Drosophila melanogaster: one gene and its partner. The protein of the gene in region 2 purifies or fractionates together with the protein of the main gene of each other region. This does not show direct contact. Each region holds a gene or a part of one and is shown on either strand. Other genes may lie near its edges. The genes, in order: fabp and CG11247.

The links.
Region 1: the proteins of CG11247 (region 2) and fabp purify together in Drosophila melanogaster (affinity purification with mass spectrometry, with the first as the bait; one large-scale study listed by BioGRID). This does not show direct contact.

The regions. Positions count from the first base shown.
Region 1 is NT_033777.3:11,555,439-11,572,829, reverse strand, and holds fabp (fatty acid binding protein), read left to right. Parts: upstream 1-5,775; 5' UTR 5,776-5,842; coding exon 5,843-5,912; intron 5,913-7,718; exon of another isoform or gene 7,719-8,015; coding exon of another isoform or gene 8,016-8,046; intron 8,047-8,118; coding exon 8,119-8,390; intron 8,391-8,458; coding exon of another isoform or gene 8,459-8,509; exon of another isoform or gene 8,510-8,772; intron 8,773-9,537; exon of another isoform or gene 9,538-9,730; intron 9,731-10,533; exon of another isoform or gene 10,534-10,629; intron 10,630-11,624; coding exon 11,625-11,756; coding exon of another isoform or gene 11,757-11,978; intron 11,979-12,037; coding exon of another isoform or gene 12,038-12,665; 3' UTR 12,666-12,934; downstream 12,935-17,391. Other genes in the region: Mrp4 (multidrug resistance protein 4), read right to left, coding at 1-562, 1,025-1,215, 1,269-1,444, 1,508-1,655, 1,718-1,803, 2,996-3,072; sea (scheggia), read left to right, coding at 11,653-11,978, 12,038-12,665; CG10898 (uncharacterized protein), read right to left, coding at 13,301-14,073, 14,146-14,395.
Region 2 is NT_037436.4:21,719,695-21,736,096, forward strand, and holds CG11247 (uncharacterized protein), read right to left. Parts: upstream 9,113-16,402; 5' UTR 8,757-9,112; exon of another isoform or gene 8,699-8,756; 5' UTR 8,593-8,698; intron 7,244-8,592; 5' UTR 7,045-7,243; coding exon 6,469-7,044; intron 6,257-6,468; coding exon 5,861-6,256; intron 5,802-5,860; coding exon 5,205-5,801; 3' UTR 4,632-5,204; downstream 1-4,631. Other genes in the region: Polr2H (RNA polymerase II, I and III subunit H), read left to right, coding at 9,499-9,948; CG14570 (uncharacterized protein), read right to left, coding at 10,048-10,734; CG14569 (uncharacterized protein), read right to left, coding at 11,240-11,827; CG14568 (uncharacterized protein), read right to left, coding at 13,243-13,758; CG14573 (uncharacterized protein), read left to right, coding at 14,437-15,015.

The DNA of each region.
Region 1 (17,391 bases), on a different chromosome or scaffold from region 2:
CTTTAGGACTGTCTCCATTTGGGGATTCTGCTTTCTGGTTGGCATTTTTGACCTTTGACTTATCCCTGACTTTTGTCTCCGGACGATGCATGAACGCCTCCAATCGCCTAACGGAAACCAATAGCTCGGCAAACTCGGAGATGCCCTGCGGGAAAAACATTGTCACCGATCGGCGTAGGATATTGTAGTAGGCAGTGACGAAGAAAGCCTTCTCGGCATTGAGAATGTTTCCCAACAGGACGAAGGCAATCAGACTGGAGGAGGTAAATATGCGGGACAGGAACATCGCAAACGAGATGAGGATGCCGCGGATGTAGTTCACTTGCTTGATGCACAGCATCTCATTGAAGCGGGTCATCTCCACCACCTTGCCGAATGGCTTCTCCCAGGCGTACATCTTGATGACCTGGATGCCTGAGATAATCTCGTTCATCATGCGGACACGTTCGTCCGTTCGCAAAGCGGTACGCAGGCGTAGAACGCTGGTCCGCTTGCCGAGGTAGGATTGGAATGGCAGGAACAGAAGCATTATAGCAACGCCAAACATGGATGATATGCCAATCTAAAATATCAGAAAAATATATTGCTAAATGTGCTGTATTCAGTTTCAGCGGGGTATAACTTCATTTCGATATTAATAATGGATGTACTTGACTTCCTTAATTGGCCGCACACGATAAGCAATTAATAGGAATACCACAATATTTGTATTCATGACAAAAACATTTTTCGATAGTTACATATATATATTTAGGAAACGTACTATCAATTGGTGCCATAACAGGAAAAGATTGATCGAAGATATATTAGAAAAATATTTAATTAACATTGAAAATAAGTGTCCATTCATAAATATTATTATGATAAAGTATAACAAAATATAAAAAACTTTCCACCAAATTTTCGGTGACATTGAAAGCTTGCCGTGCTCAAAAAAAACTTAAAAGAGCCGATTCGGAACAGGTTTAAGCATTTGAGCTTTCGACTAGAAAATTTCTATTTGATTTTCTGACCACCTACGTACCTCGAGATACATCAGGTAGGTAACTGCAATCAGTTCCAACGGAGCTATCCACAGGTAGTGAACGTTGATCAGTACCAAGTCAAATCGACCCACATCGTTGGACAGCAGATTGACCACCTGACCCACTGTGGTGTCACCCAAAGCGGTTCTACTCAGCCGCAGGGCCTTGCGATAGATTAGACTGCTAAGTGCTGCAATTTGGAGAGGATTAACATCTGGATTAGCTGAGATAATCAGCACTTACCAATGCGCATCTTCATGCCCAGATGAAGTAGACCCAGCATATAGGGATGACCGATACACACACTAAACACGGAACCAGCTATAAGACCCGCTGCCCATAACTGGGCCTTGGAGCGATCCGGATCATTCCCGGCAAAGTATGCCATCACTCCAATCAGGCAAATGGGCTGGGTGACTCTGTAGTTGGATAAGTGGATTGGTAAGTATTATTTCAGATTCTATGGTTCAGAACCCACTTACTTGGTCAAAAACTCCTGGGCAAGCAGGAATACTCCCGTAATGAACAAATGAAAGCCAAACACTTTCGTCAGGGCGCGACCCAAACGTGGAGTTTCATTTTTCGCCACCTGCTCATCCCAGGCTGCGCACAACCGATCTCCCAGGGAATCTATATATTAAAGATGATACCCATTAATATAGCTGCGAATGGAAATTAATCAAAGAACTCACCCGATTTGTGCTCTTTGAGGGCTCTATATAGATCCTTTTGTTCCAGCGTCTTCTTGCGGCCTTTAAACAGAACGGGTAGGGCAAAACTTCACGTTGGATCGGCAACAGCATTACGTAGGTAGTTTTTATTGGGTGTACAATAAAAACATAATTAGCGAAAGACTGTCTGTTATCAGGCAATGATACTGATAAAGTAAAAAACGAACGAACAGACAATTGACAACAACTGACAACAGTTGCTATCCAATGCAGCGTTGTAAAGCGAGTATGTCACGGTCAAAATTGTTAGAAGCGAATGATGTTTTTTCCTCAAAGCTCAAATTTCACAGACTACAGAAATAATAATTAAACTTCTATGCAACTGCGCAAAACCCATACAAAGTTCAATTTTAATAACTACCGTACTTATCTCAGTAAAACCGAATGTTTTATTAATAAAAGAGTACATGTATGTACATTTTCACAGCATCCATATTTGCTGACGCAAATGAATCTATATCTTACGATACGCGGACACAAAAGAACAGTTCAGAGTTCCTTATCTTATATGTTATTAAATAATTACATTACATAAACAAAAAATAAAAGCTCTATACGTTAGCCGAAGATAAACAAATTCTGTTATGTCAAAAAGGAATCTTATCAGAAGCTGTACATCAAAATTAGTTTGTTGCGTTTTAAGTTTATGTGTTCTATCGCAATGATTCATAACATTTGTCAGCAGTTTTTCCCCTTTGGATATCTAGTTCTGTACCTAGCGCTGTTAGATTTCCTCTGGAATAATTTTGAAAATGGATCTTAGCTAAGTGTCGCCCTCAATTGGTAACCAATTGAATGGGAATCCGAGCTCCCGTGAAATGCAAAATGATTTTGTCGCCTCGGTCACGCGAATTAAGCGAACCATTGAATGAAATAATCAACTTGTCAGTGTTGTCACGTTATATGCTCCCCAAATCCCCCCCCCCCACACACACACACACAACAAAGCACATGAATAAATAACACCTAAACTAGTCATCAATGGGTGCTTTTTTCTTATCATCGCGCCGAAAAAAAATGTTCGATTTTAGTTTACTAACAATGCCATGATCTTTGAATATGTGTATTAATAGACTTGTAAACTGGTTTCTATTAGAGCTATTAAGTTTATAACCCACATACATATACATATATATATTCTATTCTTTTTGCAATGAGATGGTTGGACAAACCATTTAATTAAAAAGAAATAAAAATTTAGTCTCGAAATGCCCAGAAAGATATAATTTCTACGCTCACCAGAACATAAGTGACGAGAGGGGACTGGATCGCTCCCGTGGATTCTCCGGCAGTTCATCGGCTTTCATCGACTGCATGCTGATTGCACTGATTGGAGCTAAATTGCACTATATAGAGTGTAGCATTACAAGTACAGGGGACTTGCTCGGTCACCGGGATTGCCTTTGGACGACGGCGGTTGATTAGCACTTTTCGATACGAAAGGGGACACGCGCTCTATTTTAATATAATTAGTTTGGCATTAGCCGAGGAGAAACCAGATGGAAATGCGAGCGATTTCAGATTCCGATCTACGAATTCGATTTCTATTCACGTTTGCGGGAAGTAAACTTTTCCACTGGCACAATGCAGACTTCAATATTGCGTGGCATTCGGATTGGAAGAAGTGCTGCTGCGAGATCACGGTTCCAAAAAAGATCACTTCACGCGGAGATATTCGGTATTTCTATCTGTTGCAGGCGTATTTCGTCATAGATTGCCTTGTATTTCGTATGTGATTTAGTTCATAGCACATCTTACTTATCGCGAACGTATCGAAGTACACATGGCACTGCGCGCTACTCTACCCACGACTATCTGCTCGCTCCGAAGGTCCGACTCGTTCTGACCCGATCCGCTCTCGGGCTCCACCTTAAATACATGTCACTCTCTGGGTAGGTGTTGTGCCAGGTTAAGATCAGCGCTCTTTGTGGGTGCTCTCCAATGCTCTTGGTGGGCTCTCCATTACACTAGACTCTTTGCCACTCTCTTTATATCGCTCTTTCATAGCACTATTCTCGATCTCTTTTGTTTGTGGGTTATTTGTTTAGTCTTTAGTGAGACTAGTGATAAGCAGGTTAACTTATATTTTCCTCGTTTTGCGCGACACTTTGCAGTAGTAACCAACGTGTAACAATGATACGACACTTTTATGGTGCTGGCAAACATTATTCTAACATGTCCGATAAAGCTGTTGACTCTTTGGACTTTGTAGTTATAAAGTTAGGATCAGATAATAGATGTTGTATCTAAAGTTTTACAAACGCAACAGCTGTTGCACGGTCTCATTATTTGTCCATTCCATTACAAATCCAAATTTTATTATTAACTACTTTACCGCACTAGTTGAGCGCAGCTGTTAGTTGAGGTTTTTTGAAAAGTTGATATTACGATTTTGTGCTGCATACTTTCGGGCTTTAAAGTTTCCGAATGACTAAATGCATGTTTCTTCAACGCAGTCCAGGAATGGCTGCATGCAGTCGAAAAATGGACTGCCAAATGGAATGTGGCCATTAACTCCTCGAAGTCAGCCTGTGTAACTTTTACCCTGCGGCCCGGAACTTGCACAGATCTGACTTTTGATGGAAACAATGTCACATCGCACTGCTACCTAGGAGTTCATCTAAATCGGGGACTGACCTGGAGGGCCCACATCTCGTCGGTCAAATTCAAGTCACTGGCGAAACTAAAAAAGCTCGACTGGCTCTTCCACTCCAGTAAATAATACACATTAAGAAGTATATATATAAAGATATACTGAGAGTATATCATATTTTGTATTGATCAAGACGTTACTTATTATTGGTATACATAAATAATATATGTAGTACATATTATGTACATAAGTATGTTTCGTGGCAAACCCCCGTAATCTCTTTTATTTATGACGATCAATGCAATAATAAGGATGATCGGTGAGGGGGGTGCGGGATCATGGACTAATTGAATTAATAAGATAACGCTTAGCAACAAACAAGTCGGTATCCATGTAGGTGGGCCCTCCCACGGGATGGGCAGGCTTATGGAGATCGTGGGTAATCTCAATATTGCATTGCCTGACCATGGGTGGAAGGAAGTCCTCGATTAGATTACAATTCACCGGCGACTTATCAAGAGTTATTCATAACAATAATATAAACGAATTGTGTCGAAAATTATTTATACACATTGGTAAAATGTAGAAGCTCGGGAGATTCTTTTAATGGTGCCACTGACCCACAGAAAAAAGTCTACTAATTCGGAATATATGGGGGGCGAACAGTCGAGACTCAGAAACCTGGATAACGGATATCCTTTTAAATAAAATATACGTGTGTATGTATGTTAAAATTTTAAATCTTGATATTATATTAATAATAATTTTGTACTACAAAGTGAGATAGTCTGGGTTTCAAATAAATTCCCCTTCCTTACTTGCACACATTGGGTTTCCCAATGCGTAATCTGAAATTCGGAGAAAAGTTTAAAGTTCGCGCCAAAATAGGCAAGTTTTGACTGTATAATGCGAGATACATTGCAGTTCCATTGTCAGCATGACAATGTGGCGTTCGTTATTAGGCCGGTGCTTTTGAACCAATTAAGGCTGCAGCCAATTGATCGCGCCAAGGTGAAGGTGCTTGGGTGCTGGGAGGAGCAGGAGGAGCTGGTCAGACGTTGGGTGGCAGTAACACGTCCGATCCATTACCAATATGCGGTGTGAGGGGGAGTGGTGGCCCCCATAGAACCGTTAATATTTTTTTTGGAGAGCGCCTAAAAAAGCTGCTTTTTGTAAGAGCGCCAACGGCTTGGCGCCGACATTTCGATACCTTGGCGGCTGTACTTGGCTTTGCATCTGGTAATCCGATGCTCAGCCGATGCCACATCATTAAATTTTTAATTTGTGAGACAAACAAAAAGGAAACGTGCAAAAGCCGTGCCGCAGAACGAGAGCGAATCAAATGAGAGCGAGAGGCCATTAACTTGCATCTGGCAATGCCGTAGCCGCAACGCGAAAGTATATAACAGCCGGCACGCCGCAGAGCTTTTCATTCGCTCAGAAAATTTCAACAGTGAACATCTTGTGCAGAACACAGACCAAATATTCCAAAAATGTCTTTCGTTGGCAAGAAGTACAAGCTGGACAAGTCCGAGAACTTCGATGAGTACATGAAGGAGCTGGGTAAGTTGCCAAAACTAATTCGCAGTGCATCAAAAATAGAAAACCAAAGTGCTCGAGAGAGCGAGAGCGGGAGTGGAGGGAGAGAAAAGAAGCCGAAAACACGCCACCGAAAATCGACCGGCCGGCATTTTTCGCACTAGTGTGCAAAAAGTTTCATTGGCCAAACGAGAGGGAAAAAAGTAAATGTCTTCCGGAAAATGTTATATCAACTGAAGATTATGAATGAATTCGACTGTTAAAATAGTTTAGCTACATGCATAAATTGACACCTCATTGAATCTGCTGATGTGCGTATGTGTGTGTCAGATAAAATCAATAGAGAATAGGACCAGAGAAAGAGATGCACATCTGCAGCAATAAAAACGTGCTCCAGTTATTCACCTCACCCTCTTTCTCAACTTTACAGTTGCGAATCGGAGGACAAGCAGTATAAAATCCGTAAATGGTTATCTGCGGTAGTCATAAACCCAAAAACTAATTAAGTGTGGGGCCTGAACTTTGCTCCCCTTTTTTGAGTCACCTCCGTCAGCTTTCCATGGGACCGAAATCATCATAGTGCCATTAGCTTTTGCGACAGGTTTTATCTATTTGTGTACTAGATTTTGGGAGAAAGTCTCGCAGTGAACTTTGCACTAGACTACAAGCTTTATAGCTGCGATGATCTTTGCCCGGCTGTCAATTTAGACAACAATGAAACACCAGATATAAACTACATATAGGACACATTCGACTCTCTTACCGATCAAAGTGCAATTTCTATTGCAATCGTGATTATACTATATGGTGCCACTAAAACTGATCAATACCATCGCTTCCTGTCTAGACGCGCCATAGGGACTAGTGGCATTTGGTAACCAGAGACGGGCGTCCAGATTTATTTACCAGACCACCAGTTCGTCAGAACTTTTCGCCTACACACTTTGCGGCTTCGGTTTAATGGTAGACTTGGTCCGAAAGCCACGTACTTCTCAATTTTCAAGCCCAAACAAATCTAAAATCAACCTGCCGTTGGGGCCTCGCAGCACTTATCAGTTGTCGTACATATATAAATGCGATAAACTATATGCCTATTTATGTACACACATTTGTAGTATATACAATGTCGCAAAAGGCACGATAATTAGGCGCGATTACGGATTTTGCACTTTGGGCAGCCACCCCTATCATAGACCACGGTTCGCAATTGCAGGCCAGTCTAATCTATTCAAGGTTCTCCTGTCATATACGATGCATATAAATCGATCTCTGGTACAGTTGCTGGGTTCCCATGAGTGGGAACCTGGCGACTTATCGCGCCACGCCAGTTGACACTTGACTTGAGGGCACTGGACAAAAGAACAAGTTGGTGGTGGTCCATACATAATTGAACATAATTGATTGGACCACTTGTTGGTTTGATGTCTGACAATGTACTAGATTGGAAATAATACATGTGCCCTATTTGCTGGCACATTCGTAAGGTACCAGTGATTCACACTTTGTTTTTGATTCAACGTTTCATTTGGCGAAACTTCTTTCAAATAAAAATATAAATGCAAAATTACTCATACAGCTACGTGCATGCATATAGTATTTCAGTAATTACAAGTCCCATAAAATTAAGTGACAAATTTTAGTACTTAAACACGATTGATTGTTCACAATCGTTAAGTTATCATTTAATGATGGAATTGCTTTGCTTATCTTTCGATGGTAATTATCAGCACTTCAAAGGTTTACGATTTGGAACGTCAGCAAAATGGATCTTGACCACTTAAGCCAGTAAAATATATATTTACACTGCTTGAATGGCATTTATATTCACAGTTCTGCCCTCAAACAACATATGTATATATGGAATGCTGCACCGAGATAAGGTGGTGCTTTGCCAGATCTATATTTAAATGCATGGAGGGGCTTGCCAATTGATAAGAGCGGAGATGAGGATGAGGGAGGAGACGACGGCCCGCATTGTTCGTTAACCTTGAGCACGACTTTTGACGTTACAGCGGAACGGAATCTGCAGGGAACTTCATGGCTCGGCTTTATTATTTTTAATTAAATATGATATGATTTGCATTGTGAGCGCTTTGGGGTCCCCAACTTTGTTGGGCTAATTCAATTATGTGCAGTCTGCCCCATCATTCATCTTTCGGTGCGATCTTTGATTTCCTTACATTCTCGTGAGATGGAACTTCATTAATTTCTTTTCCCTTTCCACTTGCAGGCGTCGGTCTGGTGACGCGCAAGATGGGCAACAGCCTGAGCCCCACAGTGGAGGTGACCTTGGAGGGCGATACCTACACCCTGACTACCACCTCCACCTTCAAGACCTCTGCCATCAGCTTCAAGCTGGGCGTTGAGTTCGACGAGGAGACCCTGGACGGTCGCAACGTCAAGAGCATCATCACCCTGGATGGCAACAAGCTGACGCAGGAGCAGAAGGGCGACAAGCCCACCACCATCGTCCGCGAGTTCACCGACAACGAGCTGATCACCGTAAGCGCTTACTATACCTTGCCGTATATCATCACACCCACCTAACTGATCCAATGCCTCCCCCACAGACCCTCACCATCGGCAACGTTAAGTGCGTGCGCGTCTACAAGGCCGTCTAAGAGACTGATCTAAAACTATAATATCCATACGACTACATGCATTAAAACTAACTCAGATAGCCAATATTCTTGTTGACTAACAGTGAACTAAACCAAATCAAATGGAACTGCACGCTCTGCCCAATGTTAATTTATAATCGCACCCGTACACCCGCAGTCGGTGTATGTGGGAATACTCCTCGTACTCGGGGACCAATTTCCGAATGCATTTGAATAAACTATTACTTGAAGTGCTTTTAAAACATTCCGACTTTCTTTTACACTTCGCTTTTAAGCTTGTTGTTGCTTAGGTTAATGACGAAATGTAAGCTTAGACACAGCAATCAAAATTATATTAGTTTTAGTTATAAATTTATATTTTGGCATTTTTCCAACTATTTCCCAAATTTACGGTTTTGTGAGTAAGCAAGTAACGTGTTTTCATCGAAATAATTTTAGTTCCTACCTAAAAAAGAATTTTTAAGTGGCTTGTTTGTGAGGCGAACAATGCCAGATATTTTAGTTTGGCTTGAAAGTTATCGTTAAGGATCCCGAAATTCGTAGGGTGTCATATTTTCAATGGCTAAAGGGATCGAGAATACCAAATTCAATTACATTTTCAATTGGAGGTCATATTTTTGAATCGATATGAATTATAAAGTTTCAAATTTCAAACTGTTAAAAGAAATTCCACCTTTGGGGTTATAGAAAGCATGTTTCTTACTATCGTTTCTTATTGTATCGTTTATTGAAGTTGTATGTATAAAGAGAAGAGGCACAAGTCTGAATGGTCTCTGATTTGCTTTTGGGCTGCGGATGTTCTGCCCACGCGTTTCCGTTTCCGTTGCGATGCATTTGCTCTTGCTAATTGAGTATAAAACACAATGCTGCTGGGGCTTTTGCACTGTTCGTGTGAATGGGGTCTGTTGCAAGTGCGTGCCACAAGTGTGGGTGGGTGGCATCTGCTGCATTTGGGGGCTGGCGCAAGCGCACACGTTATCAGCGGACAGTTGGCAGCACGGCCACACTTTCGCCGGGTTTTTTTTGTTAACATTCGTCGTTTGCCGGCGGCGTTAGAACTACGTGTATCCGCATGACGCCGAGTTGCGTCAGTCGGTAAATAGTAGACACTTAATTGTTGGTCAATTGGGCGTTATAAATTAAAAAGCAAAAGCGCCGTTATCGATTTTATTAGTGTAGCACTAAATGCTCTGATAACCTGGATAAAACTACCGCGTGGGTGTGCGTAGGCTACGCGCATTGTGTGTGTGTGAACTCATTGTGTAATCGCTAAAGAAAAAATGTTGGTCTACTTTGCGGCGTACCTAACATTCAAAATTTAAAGTCAAATGTTCTTCTTGTTGTTCTTCAGCGGAGCTTTTCCAGTCCGCCCCAAAAGCTCTGTCCACTTTGTTGTTGCTGGACAAACGGGTTTCCGATTAGAGAGAGAAAGAGAGATCTTCACTGCGGTGTCAGCAAAAAAACGTTACTTTGGCGCTACTCTTCGCACTCTCTGCACAGAAAAAAGTTCTCCATAAAGTAATCGAAACGCACTTATATAGCTATCAAAATACCTTTATCAATGTGGAATCAATCTTTAGAAACTTAATATTCCATTATTAGGATCGAACTGATGTATGTGTATGTTACTCGTTTAGGATCGTTTACTAGATAGATCCACGTATCATTTCTTTTATTTTCAATTTCTGATTGATTTTCAAAATAGAAATATTTTACTGTGTACATTACTGAGCGCGGGGAGAGTGGATACCGCTGAAGTGCTGTTGTTTACAAAACGCCGACCATTGGAATTACAGTGCGCCCCTGATGCAGTGAACTATAGAGAATAGCGTGCTCAGTCTATCGATTCAATTTATTTTACAAAAAGTTTGATATTTAGAAGAATCTACCATTTTAAATCTATTGGGATAGAGTTGTTCGGACTGCTGACTGTTGGATCTGAAAATCCAAAGTCCGTTAGTTCCGGGATGCACTGTATCGCTTTCGCTCGTCGATTGGAAAATGGAATTTTTTCGTAGCCCCGATCAGTTGAGATTCAACCGCTGTCCCCATCGCCACTTCACTTCACCGCTGCCTGGGCTTTCCAAAATTATAATTATTTCGGTTTTTTGAATTCTAATGTGAGTAGTAGAGAACAATACCCGATAGCAAAGCTGCATGAGCAAAAATTAAGCGCGACTTTTGCCAGACAGCAGTGCGCTTTGAGTGTGTGGGTGTGGGCTTAATCAACCGCTTTTGAAGTCTGTGTGTGTGTGTGGAAGTCGGTAGAAACTTTCCAGTGCCGACTTATCAGTGGGTATTGTTTATGTTTATCCAGATTTCCAGACCGATACGGAAATTGGCTTAAACAGCGGCATAAAATGAATAATTATGAACTTGCAACTGTGTGCGATTATAATTTATGGTCATGCAAAAGTTATGTAATCGCACTGAAACAATATTAATTTGTCAAGTGCAAAGAGCGAAACAACCAACGAGCCTGCTGATATTGATATAGTACCGCTCCCACTCAAACCGTCCCAGACTATATCACCCGATCTTAAGTAATCACTATTGAGATTTTCGAACATTTGGTTTTTCGCTCTGTTTGTGTTAGTTTGTCGACTCTTCGTTCACAGTTTTCGAACCTTGTCCCCAAGGTGAAATGAATATGTTTTGGGGGAAAAGAGAGTCAACGATACAATGGGAAGTTACCTATGATAATGGCATTGATTACTAACTTTAAATTGGAGCCCGCTGGAGCCATTCCAGCCAAGTGGAATTCTTTTCCTCATAGAAATTGCATAACTAGTAGAGCAGAACTGCAATTAAACAAACATTTAATACGATAATTAAGGTCGATATTCGCATAGATACGCGGTTCACGATTGTACGTCACAGATATAGTTAAATTGTTTAAATAGATGATAAGGAATACTTCAGATATCATTATCTATGAAGAACAAATGCCATATTTTCATACAAGTTTTGGGGAATATTTTGAAATCCGCGCACCCACGCAGAACGAGTCTATTTTGATCCATTTACAACAATAGGATATAAATAACATTCAATCGGACAGAAATCAGCTGGAATTCACTCAGTACAATAAATGAATTCTACTATTTTCTTTCAGCTAATTCCCCACCTAACACCCAGTCAGCATGGATCGCTCCGCCTTCGCGTCCCTTGTCAGCCCGTACCGCCGACGTCCGTGGATGACGGAGCACGGAGCGGCGGCTGCGGACAGCGGCCAGGTGGGCCTTAAGGGCATCGTCGCCGGCGGTATTACGGGCGGCATCGAGATCTGCATCACCTATCCCACCGAGTATGTGAAGACACAACTGCAGCTGGACGAGAAGGGAGCGGCGAAGAAGTACAACGGCATCTTTGATTGCGTTAAGAAGACGGTGGGAGAACGTGGATTCCTGGGTCTCTACCGAGGTCTCAGTGTGCTCGTCTACGGCAGCATTCCTAAGTCAGCGGCGAGGTAAGTTATATAACTTTTGGTTATAGTTCATGTTTTGCTGATTAAAAGATAACTTTCAGATTCGGTGCTTTTGAATTCCTGAAATCGAACGCCGTGGACTCCCGAGGACAACTGAGCAACTCCGGAAAGTTGCTTTGCGGCTTAGGAGCTGGCGTATGTGAGGCCATCGTGGCAGTGACCCCGATGGAGACCATCAAGGTGAAGTTCATCAACGATCAGCGCAGCGGCAATCCCAAGTTCAGGGGATTCGCCCACGGCGTTGGCCAAATCATCAAGTCGGAGGGCATCTCTGGTATCTACAAGGGCCTAACGCCCACCATTCTGAAACAGGGCTCCAACCAGGCCATTCGCTTCTTCGTACTGGAGTCCCTTAAGGATTTGTACAAGGGTGACGATCACACGAAGCCAGTGCCCAAGTTGGTGGTTGGAGTGTTTGGAGCTATCGCCGGAGCAGCCTCTGTGTTCGGTAATACGCCGCTGGATGTGGTCAAGACGAGGATGCAGGGTCTGGAAGCATCGAAATACAAGAACACTGCCCACTGTGCGGTGGAGATCTTGAAGAACGAAGGTCCCGCCGCCTTCTACAAGGGCACCGTGCCAAGATTAGGTCGTGTGTGCCTGGATGTGGCCATCACCTTTATGATCTACGACTCCTTCATGGATCTGTTCAACAAGGTGTGGGTGTAACTCGGCGATTCGGCTTGGCGACTTAGTTACTTAGTTCATCCTTCTACCCCAAAAAACCCACTCGTGCATTTTCCTCTGTTCCCATTGTTCCCTAGTCGACTGTTGCAATAGTTTCTAGTTTTGTGACATATTCCAAGAAAGCATTTTATATACACTCTATACCCGCAATGGGTAAGTGGCTATAGAAATTATACAGCTTGTTTTAAAAATTGAATTAAATCTGAAGAGTCTATTTGAAGTTCCCATATAAATCATAGCTAGACTGGATGAAATAGGTAAGGCTTTTTGGATTATTTAGTTCGCATGAAAACGTGAATATTTTAATTGGTACTATATAATAGTAAACAGTTTTCTAAGTAAATCTCTAGAATAGATTAGGCTACGCAAACGAGTAAACTTCAGATTAGATCTTTCACCAAGAAAGGGGAATGGGTTAAGAGGTTAAGATTACTTCTAGGCGTTTTATGACAGATTGGCAGAGACTTATCTACGTAATTCACTATTTAGCACCAAGGAGGGAAACATTTGCCTTACAGTCGGACATCTGGCAGACATCTGCTATCTTTAATTGCAACTAACAACGGATAGATTGCTTGCACCATAAATAAGGACAGATTACTCTAGTCTAAGGCATTTTAGCGCACCACATTCAGCGGAATGGATGCGTTCTTGCTGCTGACGATACGTCCCAGCATCTCGTCAAGTGGCGCACCCAGTTCCTGCCAAATGCACTTGCCGATCAGCGAGATTTCCTCCAGTGGCGGTCGGAAAGCCACCAGCAGATTAAGGCATATTCCATCAGTGTTCTCCTGCTCCGAAGCTGAGTGCTCCACGCTAAGTAAGCCATGTGGTCGATGCTGTGGCAGCTCCGCACCAAAAATCTCAATCATGAACTTGCGCAGCGTAGAGTGCAGGCTGCGATTCGGATGCAGTTCGACCGTGGGAAAGTGGTGGGCGTTCTTTTCACTGACCAGGATGTTCAGCGAGTTGTGTGCTCGCTTTCTGGCTACAGCCAGAACCCGCAGATAGTTACGTTTGTGGGCGAAACGTGTGGGCAGTATGGTCCCATGCCAGGGTGAAGGGCTAATGGCAATCTTTTGCCCCTGATGATACGCCCTTCCAATCTCAATGATACTGAGTATGTCGTTGGCTCGGAGAGGTACTTCCTTGGGATTACGCACCCATCTCGCCTGAATCGATTCGGCGTCTGCATCCGCAGGAGTTTTAAGTCGGCCGCCTGTGATGCGTCCAGTGAGCACGAAGCGGAACCAAGAGCCACCGGCGGCCTCCACCGCTAATAGAGTGGTCAGCTCGGCATTTAGACCAGTCTCTTCGAAAACTTCCCGGGCGGCTGCCTCCGTGATGGATTCGCCCCTTTCCATGCGACCAGCGGGTAAGTACCACTTGCCTGGTCAATAGAGTGCAACGTGTTAGATGGTTCTTGAATTGTGGTTTTGGACATTCGGAATTTCCTACTCACCGGCACAGCTCTGTTTGGCCTCCTCGATCATCAGAAGCTCGTCGTGCTCATTGATCAACACACAGGCCACAATATAGGTGACTGTCTGTCCAAGAATGGGCACAAAATCGGATGCGGATGAGGGCTGTACTCCCTGGGCCTCGGCGGTGGCATTCTGTTCCTTAAGAGAAAAGTCACACAGTTCCGTTGTGATGTCGCCCAGATCTTTTGAGTCCAAAATGCGACGCACTTTCTCCACAATCGAAGCCATCCTGTTTTGCTAAATGATCCACTTAAGACGTTAGAAATTCAAAGCACAACTGGTATCTTCTGAAACTCACTTTAAGCGCTAAATTTCAAGGCGGCTGACTCAGTTCGCTGAACATGCTACGCCCAGTCGGAATCTCTGCATATATCTCTGAGGTTCTATATATGCAAATTACGAATTCTTTGGAGTGCTCTGTGCTCTGCAAACGCAAACAGTTTAAGCAATCGTGGCGAACTCGAGAACGGGCGGTATGTGACTGACTGCGGCTATAATGCCCAATAAAATGGCCAAGACGATGGCAATCAACTTTTTGTTGTTGTTTTTGCAGCTCGTCGCTTGTTGTCGCTACACAGGTGGCTGGCTGGTGGTGCTGTGGCCTCTATTTCTTGCTATTTCTCTCTATTTCTCTGTATTGATATCGAAATGGATGTCAAATAAGCCGCTCGACGGGTTTTCTTCAGGAGAAAGTGCATCGGAATGTGTCTCCGTCTCCGTCTGCGCCAGCTGTTCGCTATTCTTCTCGTCGCGGTACTTAACAGCTCCGTTTATCGATGGGTCATTAGGTGGTGCACACTCATTTATTGCAATGCCATTTATGGCCTAATTGATTTGCAAGTGCGGCCAAGAACAAGTAATTTTGTTAGTAAATAGAGGGCAGAGTGGCCACTTTGTTCTTGGCGCAGCATCTGGCAACGCTGCGGGTTTGTTTACTTCGATAAGGCCCCCTTTACACTAGTTTCGAATTATCGCAGTTGGGAATATATTTCGACTATATCTTTTTATGGCCTAATATGCAAAGCCTGAATAAATAATTGATTTTAAGGAATCATACCTAATCTGCTTCGTATTTATTATTACACATCAATTGCACATAGCACAGTACTTTAGTATAAAATACTAATGCATTTTCCCATCTGGTATTTAACGCCCAGCCTGGTCCCACTGCGAAAATTTAAAACCCCAACGACCGTTATAGAAAATTAATTAATCACAAAATCGCTAAACTTGTTTGCTCAGCCTGTTATTGTACACTCACGATACGATAATGTACATGTTATATGCTAATTTCAACGACGACATGCATCATTCAACTGCGCTGCGAATTTAGCCGACAAACAGCAAACAGGCGTTGCGCCATAGATTAATATTAAAGCGCATCGTTTATAAATATCCTCATCCGGCATATGGACATTTGTGTGTGCGTTTGTGAGCAGGAAGCCTCGCTGATTGCCAGCAATAAAATTTGAATGCGGAAATTTCATTGTTTACCCAAATCGATCATCATTAAAAGCATTGCTGTTGCCATTCCCGGTTTGCCCCATTGCAAAAGTGCCAATTGCCCCGAATCCATGGCGTATACTTAACGTGGGCGGTTTCAGCCACTGGATGGATGTATGAAGAATGGGGGGTGGTTTGAAATTGGGCGGGGAAACTCGTCCCGGGGAAGGTGGATGCGGTGGCTCGACTTGTCGTAATGGGTCTGCAAACTCGGATGCCTGGGTAGGTAATTCAATTTTGTGCAAATGCTTGATTTGCCATTTAGCTGCGAGACCTAATACTGCTTCTTCAGTTTTGCCTACACACAGCAAAAATATTCCCACGCAAATGTTATGCATTGTTAATGCCATGCCTTTGGGAGCAGCACTAGTTGAAGGTGTTTAAATTAATGAATAGATAGTTAAATAATTCGTGCGAGCGAGCAAATTGCAAAGGCCAGGAGTTTCAAGTTGTCTTTAGGCCTTTAAAGTTTTGTATTCTTATGCGGTGAATTTAGTTGTATAGCATTAATATAAGCATTTGGATTTGCTTATAACTCAAGTTTTTCCCGCCGTGCTTTTCCATTTCAGCGTTCACTTCGTCTTAGGCCTACTTCATCTGCTCCAAATCTTGGCATCGTCGGCTTCTCTTCGGCCACAGTTCACATAAGACTTTTGTCATTATATTGTTAATTTGTTTTAGTTGTTTTTTAATTTCCTTGGAGAGTCGCAACCTCGTTGAGACTAACAACATGCGTGCGGAGGACTCGCATGTAGTGGTGTTCTTGTTAGGATTGTGGAATGATAGGTGGGTGGCTGGGTGGCTTGGGTGCGAATGAGGATGCGGATGTGGATTTGGATTTGTGTGGGTGTGCTAATGTACTGTGAGTGGATCTCTGGTAATAACGGCTAAAGTAAAATGCTGATAAAGTGGCGAATGTTTCGGAATGTGCGAGTGTGTTTGTGCGAGCGAGGATTCTGCTGCGTGGCTGCGATGACAGGCAAAAGCGAACACAAAACGTTCATTTCCCACATGCACCATTATTCGTTGAAACCCGTAAATTTCACCGAAAACGAACAGCAGCAGTAGTCGCAGCAGCATCAAACAGCAGCAGCAGCAGCAGAAGCAGCATCAGCACAAGCAGAAACAGCAGCAACGTGGCAGCACCAATCCAAGGAGCTGCTTAACACGAGAATAATGTTTAAAATGTTTATTATGTGTGCAAGTGACGCGAGCTCCTTTCCCCCCCCCCCTTTCCATGCTCCTTGGTATCTTTCCCCCTTTTGGATGACAGGCCCAACCGACAGGCCAATACGCACACATAACTTTACACAGACAGAAAAAATGGGTGCAGGGTTAGAAGTTTGACATTTCAAAATGAGCAACGTGCACATTCAAGTACAATCCAACCTTAAGATCATAATTAATACTGCAAAGAAACTTGTCACACTATATATAGTCAATAATAAATTAACTTTAAATATACAAAACAAATATTTCGTTAATTTCCTTATAATTAGGGATAAGTATTAAAGTACAGTTAAGCCATTAGTATAGTGAATTATGTGGACTTTCAGCAACATCTTTATTGAATACTACCATGTCGTCAACAAATTTCAAGGCCTGCTGCAGATCATGACATAAAACCGAATTTTTGTAATTAGCATATTATGCTGGAAACCACTTTGCAAATTCATAAGCCCTTTATTTCAAACATTCTGCTGGGCCGACGTAAAATCCTT
Region 2 (16,402 bases):
AAGTCCAAAACCAAATTCCAAAAATTCGTTGTCCTTATTTATATCAACTTCATCTCTTTGAATTTCCTGGGACGCTCGATCTGGCATAAAGTAGGAAGCCCTAAGTGAGTCGTAAGTTGTGGCCTTCCCTTCTGGGGCCACCGGTATGGGTATGGGCAGCTTGACATGATTACGATGCAACCCACAGCAATACTATTTGTTATCTTTATGCGCTGCCTGCTGTCACTCGAGGCGGACTTCCTTCGCGATGTCGATGTAGAATCATGAATTGAGCCTTTGCATGCGCCAGTGACAAACGATGATGCTTCCGTGCTCATCTTTCCATCGGATCTTTCCCATTGCCCCGCGAAGTCCCAGCCAGAATGGCATAAATTCTGGGCAAGCAGGCGAGGAGGTGCTGGTGGTGAAGGAGCAGTAGGATCTGTTGCTGCGACCCGCTGGCTTTCATTTCTAATTTTTGCATTTGGTCCATGGCTACCGATCGGCCCGGAGTTGCGATCCGTGGCCGGCGATGTTTTAGTGCATTTTATTGCTTTATTTGAGAGTCTGGCATTGCAACGCTTGTCAATTTTACAACTTTATAGAGGAGAGCTCTTATCGTTTGCATATTTATGCATGATCCTCTTCCGATAGTCTGGCCAATCCCCATACCACAAGCCCCAAAATGATTCTGTTGCTGATTCTCGATCCTATTCCCGGGCCCATTGTCCATGTCTCTTAATATTTTTGACATATTGGCCGGCCCATAAGTCTGGTCCCTGGCCGAGAAGCCTCTTATTGTTGTTTGCTCCTTCCCCAGACATTTTCACAAAAAGGAAATGGCAACAACAAAAATGAAAACAACAACAACAACAGGAACAATCTTAAAGAAACCCAGAGGACTTGAGTCCGCTTTTAGTGTCTGCGTTGCCTTCTCGCATTTGAATTGCAAATCCTATTATGACTTGTGAAATTATAATTTTTCTAGTTGCCTGGCTGAAGTCCCCTTGCCCATCACACCCCCCCCCCCTTGCCACTACCACTGCCCCACCTCCAGGGCCCCATGTCCATGTCCAGTCATAACCGCAGAAGGTTCAATAGCATGAATTATGCATATGCAGACGGTTTCGTTCTTTTGGTTTCGTTTCGTTTCGGGAAAATCACAAGCACACGCATCCACATGAACTTAGTTATGATAACGTTGCACATTTCTGACTCCTCCGTGTCCTAGACAAAAACAGAGACGCGGCCGCTGAACGCAGCTCTTCATATTTGTTTTGGCCAGAAAAATTACCCAAGCGAACAGAATCTGCAGTGATATTATATTATCACTGATTTTATTTAAATATTTTCCAGTCTGTGTGATCAACGCGAAAGTGATCTGATAAATTTGTTGCAGGTTCTGGCTTAACATGTCATACAGATCTTAACTCTATTAAATATAATTAATATACTACTACGTATTTCAGGTTTATTTCTCGCAGTGCCGATCGTATGGTTTATGCGTAGCAGCTGCAGCATAGATGGAGATGGAGAAGACTCTGACGACGCCCCCTCTTTTGGGTTGCTACCGCAAAACTCTGGCTGGAGCTCTTTTGGCCTTAACTGGGCCCAAACCTTGGGCCCGAGACCCAACTGGATTTTTTACTGGTGCTGGTGCTGTGGCTGATGCTGATTCTGGGCTGTTGGACTGCAGCAGGCCTTGCTGACAGAACAAAGAAGTCGTCCATTTGTAATTGTTGTTTTGATGCTGTTTGGCTGTTTCTGTTGCTGTTGCAATAAGGGCAGCGCAGACATGGCCAAGGATTACCACTGCAACACACTTCCCCATGCCGTACCCATAAACCCATATACCCATACTCATACGCATGCACAAAGCCATTCTTAAAGCAAAGTCCAAGCCCAATCTCAATCCCGTGCCCAAGACCAGAGCTTTGGCTATACAAACCATCTGTAGACTTGTACTTTTGCTAAGGCAATCCGACTGCCCAGGTCTGCATACTTTTATGACTTTTGACTTGACTTTGACTTGCCTCCTTAAACGCCCTGGCCAGCAGAAGTTGAATGACCTCAATGACTTGGCTCCCCTTGGCTGAGATCCAAAAATCTCTCCTCAAAGCTGACCAATTACAGGTTACCAGCATATATTTCCAAAAGCAATATGTATTAAATCCAAATCATTTTACGTGTAGAATAAAATATAAATGGTTTAGATCATAGTTCGCAAATTCAAAATAGTAATGTAACAATAATTTAAATGGTTAAAAAATAAAGATGTACGTATCGCTCTTCATGAAAATAAGTACACAGCCATAAAAGTAGTTTTACGATATTTACAAAACTTATAAATTCTTGAAAACTCGACTTAGCCGCCGAATGCAAAATGAGTCTAGTTGAATTCAAATGCTCTGTGAAATTGGTTTCACTTGGGCATTCCCAGGCAATTATGAATGTCTTCTCTTTAGCCCCTTGCCGATGACGTGGGCTACTGCAATTTAGCTGGCCAGTTTCCCAACTCCGCCTCAAATTTGATGTCAGTGAACAATTCCACTTGAACTTTTCCGAGACTAAGAAAAGTGGTATGACATTACCCCAATGCCAGAGTAAATTCTCTAATAAGACGCAGACAACAAAAGAATTATATATGCATTACATAATGCCAAACAAGCTAACGCAAATGATAGCGACCAAGCATGGACTAAAGCCAAATCAATTTGCTACACAGTCCACAGGTCCCGAAGGGAAAACGGAAATGGAACTGCTCCTCGGAGGCTCACGAAACGGGCTGCTCCTCCGTGCTCTCATCATTAACATTGTCCCGGTCAAATCTAGGTATGCTGATGAGGCTGAGCCACCAACGAGCCCTGGCCAACAGGCGAGACATGCGTACTTACGTCTGTGACTATTTGTTTCACGAATTCGTGGCGCATTTTACTTGGAAAATAAACAAGCAAATCTAAACGAAGTTTATTGAATTTCATATACTCTTCTTAGGAATATTCTATGCCAAAAACCATGATGAAACGAAGGTTGTAAAGAATTTATTAATTTACTTGGGAACGATACCAGTTAAACTTTTTGCTAATTGTAAGTAATTGAAAATTGAAGTTGAGTTGAAAATATTATATTATTTCCCATAATATTGCAAGTAAATTGTAACGACTAACAGCAATGATATTGTCCTCCTGTATACAACTGAACAAGTTTTCACATATAGCCGATGGATCGAGTGTGACTGCTCTCTAACCAGCAGAGGCATTCCGTCCGTCGGCCCAAACATGGCAAAAGGCATGTCCATCCTTCCTATCGCAACAAGAGCAATTTGTTCTAATGCGCCATGGCAGCGGCAGCTGCTGGAAATGGCGAGACTAAATCTGTGGAAGAAGCTGAAGGAGCTGGAGTGCCTGACTTGCAGTTGCCACGGTCGTGGAGAAGCAGGAGGACATAGAAGTGGCAGTGGGCGGTGGGCGGTGGTTGCTGGTTGGTGGGAGCAGGAGTAACCGAGTTAGCTGAGATTGCAAAAAGGGCAACCACTGAACACGCAACGGCCAGAACAAATGTAGACATTAAGCTGCTTCCCGGGACAAGAAATCGAGATCGGGAGCGGGAACGGCATGGGGTGAGATGGGATGGCATACCGGCGGAGATTACATCAGCAGCTTCAGGTGACAGACACGCAATGGTATGGCCGGAGGAAAATCCCAGCCTGCTACCCAAGCGGGGTATCATAAAATCATAACTATATTTGACACATAAAATTGTACATACATCTCGTGGCCAAGCAAATCCTTTGGGTTGACACTAACGGTCGCGTCAATAAATTCGCCGTGCAAATTTCATTAATTGCTCCGGGTGGGTGGAAGGTGGCGGACCGGAGGAAGTGGCGCGGGCAGGTGCCACAGCGCCTGCAGATGCCACCGCTGCTCAGAGAGCTCGGTTCGCATGCAGTGCGGGGCTTGCCATAAAAAATATTGGCCACCTTAATGTAAGTGGCTTATAAATTTGTGCACAAGCCCAGACCATTTATGGCCAACGGGCAGGGACCCATGGGGCACTTGTACCTAACTGTTTATGTGGTTAGATGCCAGCCCGGTTGGGTGTGCCTGGGTGTTTCTGTGCGACTCGTTGCTCTTTTGGCCGCATTCAAATATGGAATGCAGCTTCCAGCCGGACTTGAAATTCCATAGATGAGCCTCAAAGGTCAAAGGCACGCAAGCCAGGAGATGCAGAAAATTGATTGATTCAAGCCGTGTCGCTTCCTAAGATGCTAGTCGAGATCCTCAACTTCCAGACACCAGCTACAGCAAGATCGAAAGTTGACTGAAATAATATGTAAGGCCTTTGCCATTTGTTGTAGACGGCCAAAATCCTTTTGGAATAAACATAGAAACTTTCAATAATAATAATAAAAACCAAAATTATTAAATTAATATTAATATATTCAAAAGTGTGGGAGCAGCTTTGTGGGATAGTGGACGTGCTCACTCTTAGTTAAGGGAATGTGTTCTTTTTATCATTCGTTCTCATAAACTTTCTCTAACTCTTACGTAAGCTCGCAGACTTACGAAATCTTAAAAATAAGCGAAAATAATACTTGCTGCAAATTGTTTCATGATTAAAAAGTCCGAAAAACTAATATCCAGTGTTGGGTTGTAGTCACAAATAATATTTATTATTCATTTCATTTTTTCACTTGCGTATTTTGATTTGCATTTCAGTTGTACACTTCAGATTTTGCACTTTTGTTGGAAAAGACAAATGGCAACTAAATGCATTAAGCTTATTAATTTTACAAGCATGGCCACAATGAGTTGTATTGTACTTGAGCTGTTATAGATTCACTCCGGGACAATCTGTTGCTCTGGCAAGACTAAGCATACAAAAATATTTCAGGTTTCAATCGTGTTATGCCTATTATTTTATAAATTATTGCATCGAAATTCGTTCTTAAACTAATTTCCTTTAATAGGGAAATTATTATGACAACACTAACTCATACATTCTTCAAATTATACTTTTTGGTAGCAGCAAAATTGGGATTAAGGGTAGTAATTCATTAAAATGACCTGTACTACAAAGTATATATCTTTGGGATAAATTATTTGGTTGGGTTTCGTTCTGCAACTTTGGGTTACTAAACACTAAACTAAATGGCAAGAACTAGTTCTACAAATCCTTCTTCTATGGCACACTCGCATTTGGCGTTGGCTATCAACTCCTGGATTCTACTTCTGTTTCATATACATGGTAGCAATTTTCTCAAGAATCGTGTCTATAGACAACAATTCGTCGCTGAATTTCTGCATAGTGGGGGCTGGCACAATCCACTTAAGAAATTCCTCCACATTTAGCCGGAGTCTGGCCAATGGGGTCATCGTGGCGTCGTCATGGGATTGTCGCTGAGCCAGCTTCAAGGATGCAATGATAACGTTATCGATTAGACGCTTCTCGTAGCCCAACTGGCGCAGCTTTTGAGCGGAGCTAATTTTCTTCAGTACCACTGCCATGTTAAATCTTAAGACAGAGAGAATTTGCGCATCTTCAGACTGATTGCCACTGGGTTTGTCCCCGTCAACTGGACACTTGGCGCAGTGCTCAACATGCGACTGCAGCTCCACCTTGATCTTAAAGAAATCGTGGCAGCCTTCGCACATGTAGGGCTTTTGCTGTTTGTGTATCTTCTTCATGTGGTTCTTTAGGTGCGCCAGCTGAGAAAAGGCTACTTCGTCTTCGCACAGCTGGCAGCGAAAGGGTTTTTCCCCCGTATGCTTTCGGATGTGCAGTTTTAGTACGCTTGAATGGGCAAAGGTCTGGTGGCAGATCTGATGGAAGTAGAAACATAATTTACGGCTGCATGCAAGCTAACACCCTTTCAACTTACCCTACACTGATAGGGGCGCTCTCCCGTGTGCATTCGCATATGGACATTGTACTGGCTTTTCTGGGTGAAATATGTGTTGCACACCTCGCAGACGTGGGTCTTAACAGCGGTGTGCCTCTGCATGTGAGTGGCCAAATCCTCGTCCGGCTCGATCATCTTATGGCATATCTCGCACTCAAATTGCGTCAGCTTGTGGTGCTCCTGGTTTATGTGCGCTCGCAGGGCCAGCTCGTTGGCGAATTGGTTCTCACAGATGCTGCACCGGTGCTCCATGCCCTGCTCGTGTCGCTCCATGTGCACCCGTAAATTGGCGTTGGTTGAGAAGCTGGCCGAGCACTTAGTGCAGTTGAACTGCTGGATACTCGTCTTGTGGTGAGAAACCATGTGCTGTTGCAGCTGCAATATAAATGATAATATATATTAGGAACACCAATGGTTAAGACCTATAAAAACAAAAGCCTAATAGAAAGTTCATTATTAAATACACTTATTTATATTTAATTATTATAATAAATATTATTATTTAAGTTTATAATAAATCAAATTATGAGAAAAATATAAAATTAATTGTTAAATCTCAGTTAAAAATGGAATGTCGTATTACTCACTTGACCTCCTCGGGCGAATTTTTTGTCGCAGAGGTCGCAAGGATAGGGCTTCTCGCCAGAGTGGAGGCGCATGTGGAGCCGCAGGCGCTCCTTGAGGGCGAATGATTTTGGGCACTGGGAACAAACGAACTGTTTCCGATGCTCGTGGGCGGTGGTGATATGATTTTTCAGGTTGACCGCCTGGCGGTAGCTCTTGCCACAATCCTTGCACTTGTGCGGTCGTTCGTCCGAGTGGATAAGCATGTGGCGCTGCAGATCCGTCTTGCCACCGAACTCTTTGGAGCATTGACTGCAGACATGGTGCTTGCGTTTCACCGGTTCGCCCTTTCGGGCAGACTTCTTAAGCTGCGGTTGCACGTAATCATCATCCTTTGAGTCCTGCTCTCCGCCGTCGTCCTCCTCCTCGTCCACACAAGCATCGCGCAGACTTGCCAAGCTGCTCTTCCTCCTTTTGATCGCAAGCGTAGGGCCTGGTGAGGATTCCCTCGCCGCCGGCGGCGAAGACAGCGATATGCCGCTGTCTGTGAGCAGAGAGACGGCATCCTCCTTGGACACACTACGACGGCTGCGTACCATTTGTTTGGTTTTTATTATTTGGATTCGTAACTAAATTTCTGGGGACCGCTTCCTGGGAAACACCGGCACCTGCTGCGTTTGTCTTTACTTCTAGGGTTAATGTTCTACGTATGTAATTTAGGGTATTCGTATTTTTTGGTTCGATTGCTACTTCTAGGATAGTTCCCATTCACCTTTGGTTTGGATTAGTTCAGATGGGCTGCAAAAAAAGTTAAGAGCTGTTTTAATTCTCCACTCGCCGAGCGCCACGTTCCGAAGCAGACGGAGAATCAAAAACACAGACAGAAATAGTAACCGCAAGTGAAGCCGAAACAGAAACAAGAAGAGAAACAGCAACGGAACAGAAACTCCAGCTGTGTCAACAGTGATAAGACCTATGCACAGGAAAAATATTACCAAAATTGGTGGATTTGCATATTTAGGGGCTTCGAAAAGCATGGCACTTTTTACGTTAATGCAATAGTTCTTACTATTTTTGCAGTGTTGTCGAAATCACTTGAGATTTTTAGACGTTGTTTATCATAATTAATTAATTAATTGCAATTCATTGGCTATCCAATTAGAAAATATATTCGTTTCTTTACAAATCTAGTTAACAACGGAAGGTTGTGGACTGTTTTTCACGGTGTACAGAGCTAGGAGCCCAAGTCTTGAAGTGGGTCGCATTATCAATTGACATTTCCAGCGAACGTAAGCTTCCAAAAAAAATTCTTAGTTTGTTGTCTTAATCTTTTGTTTGGGCGGGAGCGAGATGGAGAAACCGCCTGATAAGATCCCGAGGAAGGCAACAACTGATAAGCAATCCACCGCTTTCACTAAAATCACGGTAGAGCTATAAAAAGATATCGAGATAAAGCTGTGCAACCTGAGCGTTTTCGATCCCGCGGCGTCTGTTCTCCGAGGCGGCGGAGTTTCCAATGAAAAGCGAGAACACTGAAAATGCAACTGCAAGAGAGCGATTACGATGACCCTGGGCTGGGACGAACATCTGGCAAGCAGATTGGGAACCCTCCGATTCCGATTCCAGTGCCAAGCAACCCCCTCCCCCTGCGGAGGGTTAATGGTTCATTAGAGCCGCACCCGCAGAAGCTGAAAACTAACTCACTTTAGCAGCACAACGGCCCTCGACCAAACTGTTGAAAAAGCGAATTTAAGCTAGAATCCGCAGCTGGGAATCGAAATTGAAAGAGAACAGGGCAAAAAGCACGAACGACAGCGAAAATCACACACAAAAAGCGAAAATAAAGAAGTGAATACATAACAGCAGTTTTGTAATGCTAAATAGGCGGGGTTATGGGGGTGGGTAAGGGTTAAGGCGGCGGCGGTCGCTGGATGAGGGTAGGGGCCGTTGAAGTCTTTCGTATTCGGGGCACAAAACTCGACGACTGTGTAGTTTTCGGGGTCTTGCAACCGATTGTTAGTAATTAATGAACCAGCACCACAGCACTCATATACGTAAAGCAATCCATTATACACATATGCTACACATTTGGCCCAGGGGCTCCACATTCAACACCAACACCAAAGCCCCACCGGGCGTGGACTTACCTTCGCAAAAAGCAGGAGTCGCTAGGCTAAGGGCCTTCGATCCACAGGAAACTTAGCATCACCCCGAATGGGACACACCTGGACTTCCTATGCATTCCGCGTCCGACTATGAGTTCGCTTCTTATTTGTTTTTAATTTCGACACCACGAGCTGTGTGTACATACTTTTTGCAATCCGCTAGGTGGCAGTCCGACTGGCTCCTCAAGGTGTATCCATCGTGCTGCCTGCGGCTTAACCTTTGTGGGACTTTGCGGGTTTGCCGATTCTAAGCCAATACTGCGTTTTGTCCAGCAAAATAAATAACAGTTTTCGGTGGTTTTTCGATGTTGTTCTTAATGTTAGTGATGTGTATTCACCGATAGACGGTCACACTGGGACTCTCTGTCTGCGCGGCCACAGATGGGAGCGTGATGCACAGTCACTAGTTAGAGAAAATCCAATAACGTGTAGGTTGCGGCGCAATAAGTTATAAATAAGTTAAAAATCACATTGCGCAGTATCACTGCAATATTTATTGAAATTTCAGTAAGAACAAAGTGAGGCACACTTTGTTGAACGTGACTTCTTTTACACACTGAAATCACAGCCTGCTGAACGTGACCACTTTGCTCACTGAAATCGCAGACGTGTGGCAACACTCAAGCCGCCAGAAAGATCTGGCATCTCTCATACTTAACACGCGCATGCAAAATATTTAAGAAATAAATATTAGTCGCTAACAGTTTAAATATAATAAAATTCTGCTGATATAAACCCAGTTCATAAAAGAACACGCATTTACCTCCGCATATAAGATCAAATACGTATAAAATCTAATTAGCCGACTCAAGGTAAGGCGTGCGTTTTTGGAGCTCCACTAAACTGACTTCAAAGCAATAACTCATCAAATACTACATTTCAGTTAAAATGGCTGGAGTACTCTTTGAGGACATCTTCAACGTAAAGGACATGGATCCGGAGGGCAAAAAGTTCGACCGTGTATCCCGCCTGCACTGCGAGTCCGAGTCGTTTAAGATGGACCTCATCCTGGACATCAACTCGTGGCTATACCCCATGGAGCTGGGCGACAAGTTCCGCCTGGTTTTGGCCACCACCCTGCGCGAGGATGGTTGCCCGGACAGCGGGGAGTACAATCCAATGGAGCACGAGGGAACGCGGGCGGACAGCTTTGAGTACGTGATGTACGGCAAGATCTACAGGATCGAGGGCGACGAAGCACACAATGAGGCCTCCCGGCTCTCCGCCTACGTGTCATTCGGCGGCTTGCTGATGCGACTTCAGGGTGACGCCAACAATCTTCATGGCTTCGAGGTGGACCAGCACATGTACCTGCTGATGAAGCGGCTGGCCTTCTGAATTTTCTACCTAATTATTTTCGATCGCAAATTAGACATAGACAACAAACTTTATTTACAGTGTATTCATGACATTGCTTGGAGTGCTGAAAGAAGTAGTCTATTGCCTGGATGGGCGTCTGAAAGGCGCATTGACTATCAGGCGAGATGGCCGTGGGCGAAAAGGAATGTGGCGATCCACGAAGGGCAAAGCCTGCGGAGTCGATGGGAACACTGGAGTAGGCCTAATAGCATTCACAATCTTGACCGCATCTGGCCGACGACGAACCGTAAGCTTAGCCGGCCGTCGCTGCGGAGTCCGCAGAACCGGACGCTGCGGGCGGAAGGCAGAAAGTCGGTTCAGAAGCGGCAGAACATACTGAGCCTGGGGTGGTAGCGGCAGACTTGCCAAATTAATTATAGCTGCGCTTTGTGGCAATGTGTTGGAGCTGTCATCATTGGCTGGCTGGTCTGGAGGTCCGTAGGTCTGATCGGGAGGTCCATAAATTTGGTCCGGTGGGCCGTAGACCTCAGCTGGCGCTTCCACCAAAGACGGTGGTCCGTATGTTTCAGGTGGAGGGCCATATGTATCCTCCGGTTGAGGAAATTCAACCGCCTCCTCCGTTGGCAGGTCGAATGGCGGATCGGGGACCAGGCCTGCTGGTGGATATGGGGCTTGTTCCTGTCTTTGCAGAAACCTTCCCGCCGCGGGTCCTGGGAACCTCAGATGACTGCCTTCAATTCCATTCAGGCAAAGAATGGAACAAAGCGCAAAGGTGACCAGAGAAGCACTTGGATAACCGGACATTGTGGTGTGCTGACATGAACTGCTGCATGGGCGGCTAAGTGGCGCCTATAAATACCCCCTAGGAATGCCCTTGGGAACTGCCCAATTCAAACGCCCGAAGAAACCTCGAGGCCGATGACTTATAAGCCAGGTCCAACGATACGTGCCCATGGAGGTGGTGACTAAGGCGCGTGTAAGTACTGGCTGTTATGAAAATGTGTGGTTAGATTTCTTTAAAAGGGAGTGCTTATACAAAATAATTGTATATTATTTTTACACAGGAATAAAAAAAATAATAAATATAACGCTTTCCTATTAGTTTCAGTATGGATTTCATTTTAAATTGAATTTTGTAAGTAATATTTTGTAAATATATTTTCTGTGTACGGTGAGTGCATGATATCGTTAGAATAGATTCCAGCCCTGTATCAAAGACACTAGAATAATTATTCTAGAGTCTTTGCCTGTATGATATTTCCTTAAGTCTGACGCAGTGACGTATTTGCTTACGCTAAAGTTTTAAAGTCTACCAACTGCGACGCAGGATTAGACGCTGAGGAACGGGCCTCTGGGAACGCCGTCCTTGCGGAAATCGCTGGTAGAGTCGGGCGGACTGGACGGACTGTGGCTGGTCAAGACTGCTAGCTACAACGATCACAGTGCCATCCTCAGCAACATCCAGCTGCGGTTCATCCTCCTCGGCGTCCTCATCAGCGGGCTGCAGCTTGGCACCGTCAACCGATGCTTCCTCAGTCTCTGGAATATCATCAGTCTCGATGGGATTCTCTGGTAGCGGCTCAGCCTCGGGAGCAATAGCCGGCACGGAGTCGGTCTCTGGAGGTCCATAAGTGTTATCTGGTGGCCCGTATGTGTTGTCCGGAGGTCCATAGGTGTTATCAGGCGGCAGATAAGTGTTCTCCGGCTTGACAGTCGAACTGGGTAAATCGAAGGGAACACTCGGGGTGATGCCCGCCTCCGGATATCCGGTGGGCGAAGGACTGGGTATAGCCTCCACTTGGCGCGCCAAGAACCTCCGGCGGATCGGCTCCGCGGAGCTCAGCGCCAACAGGCTCAGGACAAGAATAGCAATTGGTGCGCCAGTCGGTTTAAACATTTTCGCGGTTGAAGGGCTTCTGTTCTGATTTCTCGATCCGACACGACGTATTTATAGCCCCAAGCTACCAGATCGAATTCTGCTATAATTTATGCTCGTCACTTTCAGTTTCAGGCTCTTATTCCCGGTAAAACTTTGATTATGTTGCGCTGATCGGCGGCAATGTAGCTTCAGCTTAATACCCGATACGTGACCCTTTTTCGAAATTGATTTTCCAATGCTATGATTTGGAATAGGCCACCCTTTCCCTCCTTCGCAAATCATTCATTAACACTTGGAGTGAGCTGTGAACACTCGAGTTTGTTTGGTTTTGGGTTCTTGGCAGTTCATAATTTTATTTGATGAACTTTGTATTCATGCAAAACAGAATAGGCTGTGAAAAAATCCATCAAGCACGCACTTTTAAAAGCACGTCCCACCCATTTGCAACATTTGGACAGTTTCAATCAGGGTCGATCGAATTCAAAAACAATGTTATTTACTATTAGCTTGGCTTTTGGAACACTCATTTGCCTTACCAAAAATTATTATATTCTGAGCTTTGAGTTTTTATCATGGTAAGTGAAAATCGGGTTAAAAAATATAGTATTCATACTCCTTACTCGTAGAGTAAGATGTGTTGAAAATTATGTAACAGGAAACTTTTCCGACCATATAAAGTATATACATATATGATCAGGATCAATAGCCGAGTCGATCTGGCCATGCCCGTCTGTCCGTATGAACGTCTCGATCTCGGGAACTATAAAAGCTAGAGGGTTGAGATTAAGCTTACAGCTTACAGCTCACAGCTTCTAGAGAAACGCCCACTCTAACGCCCACGAACCACACAAAACTGCAACGCCCACACGTTTGCAAATTGTTTTGACATTTTGCATATTTTTATTAGTCTTGTAAATTTCTGTTGATTGACAAAAAAGTTTATGCAACGCATTTTATTCACCAATATCTATCGATATTCCAGGAAAAGTATGCAAGTTCGCGTTCGCATTTCCACTAGCTGAGTAGTTGGTATCTGATAAGCAGGGAAGCCGAATATAGGATTTCTTGTTTGATACTGCTTGGACAAGATTTTTAATAGATAATAGAGCACAGGGTAACTTGTAGTTGAGACTCCCGAATCACTTTTGTGATTTGATCCTGATTAAGAAAATAAGATCTTAATAGAAAAGCAAATGCGTTCATATATCTGTTAGCTCCAACAACAAATTAAATATGTTTTGCTTCACTAACAACAAGACAGACATATTTTGCAATTTTCAATTTATGACAAAAGGGTGGCTTGAATATTAACGCAATTATTTTATTATTTAAATTAAAATATTCAACAACAATTTATTTAGCGACAAAGTAATAAATGCATATCCTAATGAGTCGATTCCATTTGATTTCTAGCAAATTAGGGTTGACCCATTTCAGATGGTGTACACCAGAACTGATCCAGAGCGGATAATCTGAGCGGATCGAAGCTTCTCTGGGGTCGGACGACGACTGAGGAGGCGTTCGTTACGAGGCTGGATCAAGCCGGCGGGCACGGGATCGGCAGCAGGGGCCTGGTCCACTGGGCCATCAGCCGGCGGTCCATAGGTGTTTTCCGGCTCAGCAGGTGGTCCGTAAGTGTTATCGGGAGGGCCGTAGGTGTTGTCGGGCTCATCTGGGGGTCCGTAGGTAAGATCAGGTTGCGCTTCAGTCTCCGTGGGCAGGTCGAAGGGCACCTCCGGTGTCACTCCTGCTGGCGGATAAGGGGCTGAGGCCGGCGTAGGTGCAATATCCACGGCGGGGTCGGCCGGAACTGCCTGATCCCCTGGAGCCTGCTCCTGACGGGCAAACTGCAGGCGGGAAAATCGTCCCCGGAATCTGGTAGGCTCTGCAACAGAAACGGCAGCCATGGCTGCGATCAGGAGCAGGGAGCAGATGAACTTGTGGGCCATGTTGAGCTGCTGCTGAGTTGTCTTAGAATGTTGTCAGTGGCTGCCAGTTTCGCGCCTTTTATACCAACTGAAGTTTTCGGCCACTCGGGTATATTTGGCTCACCGAGGGACACCCTTTCGTTGGCCTACGGACGTGACAATATTTAGTCAAGGGCCCATGTCTAAGCCATAACCATTGGCCGTTAATTATAACCCGCGGGCACTTAACTTTGACACTTTACGTGGAACCACTGCGGATGAGGAATGGGTTGCAACCAAAGAAGTCGAACTAGTAACGAATGTCATTCGTTGACTTGTATGTTTTCTAACGTAATTCTATAATTTTATAAATATGTCATTACTTTAACTGAGCTAATGAATTTCTTTCTAACCTACTTCCCTTTTTATATACTAAGCATGTGGCCAATGGTCCACATGGGCATGGGCAACTAGGGCTATAGATCTGCTAGCACTTTAAATTCCACTCCACTGTGCGGCGCCTGCTTGACATACAATGCATACGCATTGATGGATTTCAAATCGCGGCGCTCTGCTTAAAATTCACGGCGTTGTTGGCTGGGCTAGAATCGCTGACCAGTGACCACCGATGAGCAGGGCCACCGCTGCGGCACTTGGAAGTATAAAAGTTAAAGCTCCATATACGACAGCAAACACAGCTCAACTGCTAGTCCCACGATCATGGCACGTTACCAGTTTTTCAGTTCGCTCCTCCTCCTGCTGGCGGCCATCAGCGCGGTGAATTGTGCGGCACAGGCACCACTTCGGCGGACTCTGCGCCTGCGTCCGGTGGCGTTCGCCCGGCAGGAGCTGGCTCCCACCCCCTACCCCTCGGCTGCTGAGCTTAAACCCGCCGCCGAACAGCCCGCGCTGACCTACGGACCTCCCGAGGATGTGGATACAGATGCCTTGCCTTCGGAACAGGATCCACCAGTGGACACCTTCGAGCCTAGCCCAGAGAACGAGGAGGTGGACACCGAGGAGAGCTCACTTGAGGCCACCACACCATCCTCTGCTCCGGCCCGCCTGCGCAGCCGCCATAGATTGGGCAAGTTGCAGCTGGCTAAGCCAAAGCTGCTCCGCCAACGCACAGCTCGCCTGGAGGAGCTGCCCGTGGATGCGGCTGTGGCTCCAGTGGCTTCGCTGGTTCCAGTAGCTCAGGCTCCAGCACTGGCCACGCCCCAGTTTTACTATGTGGGTGCCCAGCAGCCGTATTACCTGGCAGCCTACAGCGCTGCTCCCCAGCAACTAGGCTGGTAGTAACGCTAGTTGCCTTCTCTTAATTTGTTCTGTTTGGATTGCAATTTGTTGTTAAAAATATATTTCTGCTAATATGTTTAAAAATGGTTCGTCTGCTTGTTTTCCTTACATTTTAAGTAAACTCAGTCCAAAAAGTCTAAATAGAAACCAGTGATATGATAAGCGAAACTAATTAATAAATTAAATATCCCGACTCCAATATCAAACAAATAAGTTATCATTTACGTAAATAATTTAGTATTTCGTATTTAATCAAAACGTATTATGTGAAAGTAAGTGGAGAAGGGAGGATAATCAGCAGTGTGCTCATCTATACGTGTCAGTCCATCTGACTGTGTTATTTTGAATTATTAATAATTTATATTATTATTCAACATCTACCGATTGTCGAGAAATAATAATTGCATGAGAAATAATTGCTTTTAATGGTTAATATTAAATTGTCGAAATGGATGCAAATTTGTTTACACACAGCTCAAAGATTTCAGTTCTCTAAAATTCAGTGCAAGCCATTTGCCTTTAAGAAAAACTTATATCAGACCTATTCTGGACGAACTCCTGTTCGGAATTCTTTGCATATCCTTGACATGTGAATTGCCTCGGAAGCGTTTAAAGGGTTCCTTGTTCCCATCGCATACTTTTAGCGGATTTGTATGGTCTTTTGTGAAAGGCTTCCCATTTCCAATGCATTTTTAATGCTTTGTTTTATTCTAGTTATAGTGGCTGGGTCACCAGTGTAATGGCTTGCTAAGATATTTTTTAGTCTGCGCAATATGATTGGTGAATGGTGGCCTTTCAACTTGATGACGGAGCAGTGTAAAGGATCATACTTACGGACATTTGGTTTTAATATTTAAGTTATTCTAAATATTAAAAATATTTCGGTACGCGGACGGACCGACACGGTAAGATAACCTCAGCTAGTGATTCTGGTCAAGAAACCTTATACTTTATAGCTTGTTCCTATCGGTTACCTACTTTTCAATGAGTCTAACACACCCCTTTACTCTAAGAGTGCCGGGTATGCACATTTAAATGACATGCATAAACACACCTTTGAACACATAAATAACACATACTTACCATTTTTAATAGAGCATTTTGTAAGGTTTAAAGCTTATATAAATACCCTCATCTGTTATCCAGGATTAGTTTGTACAGAGACGATGTGCAACATTATTTAGGAAAATGCTAATATCCTGTGCAAATATGTTCAAATTTTTGATGATCATTATTGTGGCTCTCCTTGAACTAACCAAGGCACTGGATTCACCTGGTGTTGCCACACAGAGGCCACCTGTTGGGGATAAAGTTGTATATCCGGAGGAAGACAAGCAATATATAGATATTCGTTGAGAAATTATTTGTTTAATTTGCTAACATCCAA